2 linked regions of the Oryzias latipes genome follow. The protein of the gene in region 1 binds, or shares a complex with, the protein of each later gene. Links are inferred from orthologs where the notes say so. Each region holds a gene or a part of one and is shown on either strand. Other genes may lie near its edges. The genes, in order: kif11 and histone acetyltransferase KAT2B.

The links.
Region 2: kif11 (region 1) and histone acetyltransferase KAT2B share a complex: the UniProt entries of both Homo sapiens proteins name them as parts of the large chromatin remodeling complex. The link is inferred for Oryzias latipes from reciprocal best matches to the Homo sapiens genes KIF11 and KAT2B.

What each region holds. Positions count from the first base shown.
Region 1 is NC_019873.2:10,607,575-10,611,397, reverse strand, and holds part of kif11 (kinesin-like protein KIF11), read left to right. Parts: intron 1-1,268; coding exon 1,269-1,365; intron 1,366-1,518; coding exon 1,519-1,614; intron 1,615-1,782; coding exon 1,783-1,871; intron 1,872-2,138; coding exon 2,139-2,226; intron 2,227-2,545; coding exon 2,546-2,619; intron 2,620-2,707; coding exon 2,708-2,822; intron 2,823-2,917; coding exon 2,918-2,989; intron 2,990-3,757; coding exon 3,758-3,823. UniProt on the Homo sapiens protein: Motor protein required for establishing a bipolar spindle and thus contributing to chromosome congression during mitosis. Required in non-mitotic cells for transport of secretory proteins from the Golgi complex to the cell surface.
Region 2 is NC_019869.2:22,455,686-22,459,508, forward strand, and holds part of histone acetyltransferase KAT2B, read right to left. Parts: coding exon 3,819-3,823; intron 3,722-3,818; coding exon 3,658-3,721; intron 3,584-3,657; coding exon 3,499-3,583; intron 1,536-3,498; coding exon 1,342-1,535; 3' UTR 1-1,341. UniProt on the Homo sapiens protein: Functions as a histone acetyltransferase (HAT) to promote transcriptional activation. Has significant histone acetyltransferase activity with core histones (H3 and H4), and also with nucleosome core particles.

The sequences.
Region 1 (3,823 bases):
AATGTCATTTCTGCTCTTAGTCCCCTTAGTCATGGTGCAAAAAAAAGAGAAATCCATGCTCAGCCATATCCCACAATCCCTTGCAGCTATTAGACCCAGCGTCCAGATGACCGCCAATACAATATGACGCAGCTTTCAAGTTGAAAGCAATCGTTAAAAGCGGTGTGAAAAAATCCACCATCACCAACGGGTTTGGAAAAGCCGGTCTGCTGCGTGATGGAGAGGACAGCGCAAGCTCAGGAGGGAATCTGCCTCAGGATGAGAGTGACACTGACAGCGACAACGAAGGAGAGACTGAGAGAGTGTGGCCAAGAATGTCTGACGCTATTCCAATCCGACACTGAGGAGATAGACTTCCATGGTTCAGTGCACAGGAGGAAGATGAAGAAAGCTCTCAGTGACTTTTCTGTTCATGTTTTTCAAACCAGCCCTGTTAGTGCTGTGTTACGGTATGTCACTGTTGTGGAAGAAAACTTACAGCACATGCAGAGGCTTTTTTTTTTTAAACCAGCTGTTACTACCATATTGCTGCCGTGTTACTGCCGTGTCACAGGCACTGTTTGGAAAGAAAAGCTCAGGTATATTATTAAAACTTTGAAAACTCTTTCTGTGTACCGTCTTTCTTTGTAAATATCACGTTTTGAACCTTCCCTGCAATTACTCTATTTTCTTTCTTTCCTCATCTTCTTTCATCTTCCTTCGGTTGTTCACTTCCTCGTTCAGACCCCCAGAGCCTCCCTCCTACTTCTTGCGCATGCGGTTTTGGCACATTCACATCCTCAATCTACAATACAGTGTGGCGACCTGGAGGTTAACCCCGCCTTCAGCCCCTAAGACTCATGGGAAGTGGGGAATCGTGGGTGTAAAGTTTTTCACCATGACTGAGGTGGCTGTGAGCAGAAGTGACATCCATGCTGTTTGGCTGTTTGTTAGTGTGTTGTAATAAATAGGCTATAATACTGGTAAGGTGAACATGCAACAGTATGTTTATTTCCCTCTCTGAGCTTGTTGGTGATGTGCAGAATGTATACATGTTCAAATAATGTGTTTAAACATAAGCGCATGCAGCCATATACGAATTTACGGTATTTTTCTGCAAAACAAAGAAGTACACTAAAACAACTGATAAATACTTTACGATTACGTAATCGTGGTCTAAGTTGGTTGAGATGGTGGTGATTGAGATTGTATGGGCCTTTCACTAATACCTAGCTGATAAAAGTTGTTGAATGGAAGTTTATTATTCAAAATGTGTTTTCTCTTTGCAGAGAGTCTAAGCTAACCAGAATTCTGCAGGATTCCCTGGGGGGTCGAACCAAAACGTCAATCATTGCCACAGTTTCTCCTTCCTCCAGCAATCTGGAAGTATGTATGCAGACTCTGACGACCATATAGCTTTTAAAACAATAAACGTTGAATTTCTCTATTTTAAACCAATAAAAGGTGGTTTTACTGCTTTATGGTTCCTCAGGGATTCCTCCTGCCCTATTAAAACATGTGTATTTGTCCGGCCTGTAGGAGACGCTGAGCACGCTGGAGTATGCCAGCAGAGCCAAGAACATCATGAACAAACCTGAGGTCAACCAGAAACTCACCAAGAGGACACTCATCAAGGTAGGGGGGGGGCATCCAAACTTTGCTGCAATTTAGAGCAGATGTTACATGTGGGATTCTTTAAAAAGCATCTGACTCTGAGGACAGACTCCATAATTTTTCTCCGTGTTGAACCGTAAACAAACACTCCCTGCTTCTTCTAGAAAACTTTACTTTTTCTCCGGTCAGGAATACACGGAGGAGATCGAGCGCCTGAAACGAGACCTGGCAGCCACCAGAGAAAAAAATGGAGTATTTTTGTCCTCCGAAAACTATGAGTGAGTGACAGATTTGAATTTACTTGATCTTACCAACACATTTTTTTAATTGCTTTAGCAGGGACTTTATTTGCTGCAAATGTACAGAATTTCCTTGATAAGGCTGTGATAATGTAATGCAATAAACCTTCAATTTGGGACATTTCTATTCTTTTTCTCCGTTATGGAGGAAAAGTCTCAGTTAAAGTGAGTCTGGAGGTGATGTTTGTTCTTCATCCAGCCGTCTTCAGGTCAGAGTTGGTTTGATGCAGCTGCTTTGTCCTTCAGGAGCATGATGTCACAGATCACAGCTCACGAGGAGCAGATCACCGAGTACACGGACAAGATCGCTGTCATGGAGGAGGAGCTTAAGAAGGTAGCAGCGCCCAACCAGGCTAGAGTCAACATCCAGATTTATCCTGACTTTGAATGAAAACTATGGCAGTAAATCACCAATAAGAGATGGATCTAGAGCTTTTATTGAGAAATAACAAAAAGATTTTTAGGTTTGTTTTTATTGAAGGTTTGTAATTAAATAAAACGAGGAGGAGGAGGTGGTCTCCAGCTGAAGATCCAAATGTATGCTTGTAGAAATTTCACTCAGGTTTATTACCAACACAAAGACGGCTGATGTGAGAATGTGTTACTGTTTTCATCTCCGTCAAGTCTGACAGGTGTGGTTCTCTGCCCTGCAGGTGACTGAGCTGTTCGAGGATAGCAAAACCCGCCTGGAGAAGTTCAGCGTGGATCTGGATGAGAAGCAGCAGAGGTAGAGTACCAGGACCCCTTTGGCTTTCACGCGAGGCAGATCAGAGGTTTGAATAAGTTAAAAAACAGATTTTTTTTTTGGTTTCCAGGCTGGAGGAGACTAGCAGAACCTTGGAGCAGACGAAGGAGAAGCTGGTCCATGAGGAGTTCATCAGCTCAGAGCTCAACACCGTCCAGGAAGCTCTGTACAACACAGCCGGACAGGTAGAGACCCCAAAAGCCGGTCCTTCCTCCAAACCCCCCTCCCTGAAGGAACTCCACATGACAGCATCAGATGCTTAATGTTTTCTGTTCTCCAGCTCCTGAGTACAGTTCATGCCAGCACCAGCGACGTGTCGGGTCTGCACGACAAACTGGACAGGAAGAAACAGGTCAGACACTCCACTCCACGGATTCAGGGGCGGAAAGTTTCTCAACAAAGAACTGAAACGGTTTCAAGGCTGGAAAACATGTTTGGTTTTGACAAAAGCTTTGTGCAACTGAGGTCAAATACACACTTTTGTCTTTTTTAATGCACATTTAAACAAAGAAAACCAGAATCCCAGTTCATAACAGAGACTGGATGTCTGTATTGTTGACACATAAAAGCCCCCATGTTTTTTCTGATGGGGTTGTGTGTCGGTTTACATGGTGCAAATCAGGTTGGGAGTTACTGGTCTTGTGAATACTCTAACATGGCTAACGAGTAGCGTTTTACAAACCAGTTGTAGAGTTACTATGAACACAGTTAATAAGTCTGTCAGTCAGACTCTGTCTGAATCTTGTCTCACTTAATGCAGCTTATCGTTCAATGTGCCTTAAATATGACCTGTTCAAAAACAGACCGTTCATTGAAGGAGTGTCATATAGTGTGGAAAAATACAAAACTTTTTTCACTAAAGTTTACAAAAACATTTAAAAGGTTTAACCAATTTAATTTTTAAGTGTTGCAGAAAAACCTAGAGACCAGTGGGAGGAAAACACATTGAGAGATCGAAGATACTAGTGTAAAAGTAGTATTTTAATTTTCTTTTTTAAACACATGTACTTTTCTGCAGTTCATTGGCTGCTGCTGTCCGCTCAGATAAAGATCCATTCATGTCTGTTCATCCAGCATTGACGTTGTTTGGCCAGACTGATGGTCTGCTCTTATCCTGCAGGTGGAGCAGCACAACCTGCAGATGCAGCAGAGCTTCGCTCAGAAGATGGACGGCGCCTTCAGCTCC
Region 2 (3,823 bases), on another chromosome or scaffold:
AGACATTGTCTTAAGCGCAATAATTTTTTTCTCTAAATTAAAGCACATAAATAAGAATAAACTAAGATAATTAAAGTAGTCCTTTAGATTACTGTCATTTTTATGTCCAGACAAAGCTTAAAGTATATGAACTAATACTTGGAAAAAAATAAAACCAAAAAGTGCTTTCTGATAGTCAAACTGCCTTTTTGTGGCTTGCTGGAAAAAATAGTTCTGGAAAAGAAAATATACTGTATTTATATATATATTTAAAATATACAGATGGCATAAGTGCTTACAATTCATTACAATCTGTACATCTTCAGTTATGATTTCCTGTAATTGGCAAAATGAACTCGTAGATTTTGACCTTAGTGCTGCTGTACATCAACTTTACTTCACGGTTAAACACTTTGACCGCCGTTTCCACACAGAAAAAAGGTCCTTCACGTGACTGCTTTACCTGAGTCAAGTGAGTGTAATAGGCAGTGTAAAAAAAACAATATTTTAGTCATTTTCTGCTGCCTTTTTAGTGTCAAATATGGACGACAACAGCACTTCTCTGTTAAGGTGGTGTCACAGCCACTACGTACATTTAGCGCATATTGCATGGATGAAAAATGGTCATACGTGAGTAAATGTGCAAGTAGTGGTCTTTATGTGAAATGTTCACAGATGTATCAAGAATGAACCACGTTAAAACCACGAAAGAAGTACGAATAAACCACGCAAAGAACACATAAATCAGCGCAAAAGCCAAAGCTGGCCCAAAATTTGTGCGTCAGTTACATAATTTTAACGTGATATATGTGCTGTATACGCAATTTAAAAGTCACACATCGTGGTTCATGTGAAAAGTCCGTTAGACATACGTGGAACGTTTTGTGGAAAGCTACAAATATGCATGTGCATCTTGCAAAAATCACACACAATTGTGTACGGTTTATGTAATGCGTATGAACGCAAATCACACAAACTGCTTAATTCTAAACCGACCAAAAGTTTTGAACGGCTCAACACCAAATTCGCGTGAAACCCTCGACCGGCTGCGCACATGAATGAAAAACACAAGAAACACTTGTGAATGACTATATCACGCATGTATCACGAAAGACCAAAATTTCATACAGGGAAAATTCGCAAAATGTACGTAGAGGCTGTGTTACAAGACCTTTAAATAAGTCCTATTTGTTCATCCAAACACAAAAAAGACTTAATACCTTTAAGAGTATTTCTTTGCCTTTCAAAATAAAGGTACTTATCAAGGATTTGCTGATTGGAGATCACGAGATGTTCCTCAGTAGTTCTACCTTTTTGGGACGTCCCCCACCCTTCTCAAAGGGGAAGCAGCTTCCCCGTCATCTACTTCTCAATGAGACCTGCTTCCTTGATCTTGCCGTAGAAGAATTTCTCCAGTAGGTTAGCGCACTTGTAGTACTCGCTTTCCGGTGGGTTGTATTCCCGGCAGTTGGTGAAGATGCGCTGCATGTCGGCCATGAACAGCTTGCGCGTGGTGTAGTACCTGCTCTTCAGGCGCTCGCTCATGGTTTTCAGGTCTGGCAGAGAAAAAAAAGAGTTTTTCATAGAAACTGGGACAACTAAAATGACATAGCATCTCTACTGGGAACACCACAACAGATCAAAAGATGATCGGAGCAGAATGTTAACGTGAATATTTTGATAATTACTTTGAGACAAAAAGCAATCGGCACTAAATGGAACGAGTCAGATGATTGTGCTTGGAAACAAAATTTAGGTGAATTGTTAAATATTGTTAGCTATTTACCAACTAAATTACACCATCAACTGTGCAAAACCTTTCTCGTGCTATTGGAGACTTGGAGATGGATCAGCATCTTTTTCTTTTTAACTCTTCTTCACCATCAATGAATGCTAGTAAATGGTAAATTGCGTATGCTTATATAGCGCTTTTCTACCTTTTTCAAGGCCCAAATCACTTTACAGTCACAGTCCCATTCGCACACACATTCACACAATTGTGGCGGCTCCCTCCCACATCCCACAACCCTCCCAGCTAATGCTCCGTATACACCAGGCATGTGACACGCATTCGAGAACACACAAAAAGGGCTTTCTGAAACGCACGTGTAGTGTATGGTCTGTCGCCACACAATACTAGCGCATGGACCTATAGTTGGAAGAGTGTTTGTTCGAAATGTTGTCAAATCTGGTGAATCTTGCTCCAGGAATTTTCTATCACAGTTCTATTCCCATGTAACCCTTGTGCTATCCTATGACCATTGATGTGTTCTCCCTACCATGACAAAGGTGGATAAAGGTGGAAAAGATTTCATGTAATCCATGGACACCAGTGAAGATCACAAATCATTGAAGAAAAAAGTTCAGCGCACTGTCTAGTGGGGTCTAGATCAGCGGTCCCCAAACCCGGGCCGTGGACCGGCAGCGGTCCATGGGTCATTTGGTACCGGGCCGCACAGAAAGAATAAATAACTTACATTACTTCCGTTTTATTAATTTCAGAATCTAAAAGATGTTTTATTTTTAAAAATTGCCCGATTCTCTGTTACATCTGTCTATGTCACTCTTGACGCAGGCCAAGGCGCTCTTCTCGGTCACGTGATAGGTTACCGCTAAAATAAAACCAAGGAGCTAGCAAAATGAATAAAAAACAAAAGTCTTTGGAAAGTTTCTTTGCCAAGGGGAAAACGCTCAGCCTGGAGACAAAAGAGGAGCCTTCGACTTCCAAAAAAAGAAAGCTACATTTAATAGACAGTACTTCTTTTTTGCACTATGAGTGTGGGAAGAGAAGAGGAGGATGACACCTGTGCGATGTACAATGTTGTGCGTGTCAAAATAAAAGCTCGGGTTTTGTGTTGTCCCGTCTCTTCCTTCTTCGTAGTATTGCTACTAAAATCACCTGCCTAAATTCGAATGACCGGTCCGTGACAATTTGTGTGACGTCATACCGCTCCGTGGCGTCAAAAAGGTTGGGAACCACTGGTCTAGATGACCCAACTCCCTATGTCAAAGTGCCTAGGATAGCACAAGATATATGAAAGACTTGGTGTCAGAATTCGATCTGGGAACAAACTGCGATTATTAATTTCTCCTTCAAGATCAATTTTAAAACGGTTGGCCAAAAAGCATGCCATCCATAAGTCACCAACAAATCCGAGTCCCTGATTGGTCAAAGTTGAACTGGTTTAACTTTCAACGCGCGTTCAATGGCTGTGTAATTTGTACTTGTGTGAACATGAGCGTTTTACATGTGGAAGCCAAAAATGTGGGCTTACATTCATTTTTCAGTGTTCATTTTTGAGTGCATGTTGCAGAGGCCGATGTGAATGTAGGATGAGACTATGAATCAGAACCAAAGACCTGCAGTGCTCCCTCAGCCCTGACACCAGCAGCAGGAAATTTGATTCCGGTAATCTTATTTTAATTTTAAGGCCTTGATCACTTATATTGTGACACTTGCTTCATATCAAACTCAACAAGCTGACATGAGTCGGTTCCTCATTAGTACTCAGTACGTACCCATGGGAAAGCGAATGACTTGGTAGTAACCCGGTGCCTCTGTTTTCTTCACGGGTTCCATGAAGGGCCAGGCGTTTTGGTGGCTCTGAAACATGCAGATTTGAGTTTAAAAAACATAAACAGATGTGGCGTGCATGTTTTTACGGGTTTGTCCTTCACCTTCACATGCTGGAGGATGGACTTCAGAGTGGTGTACAGTTGCTCTGGATCCTTCAGTTCCTTCCTGAAATAGAAATAGAAAAGCAGAAATTGTAACAATAATGTTTTATTTTTTTTTGTAAAAATGAGGCGTCCTTCGAGGCAGATGCTTATGACCTTACCCTTT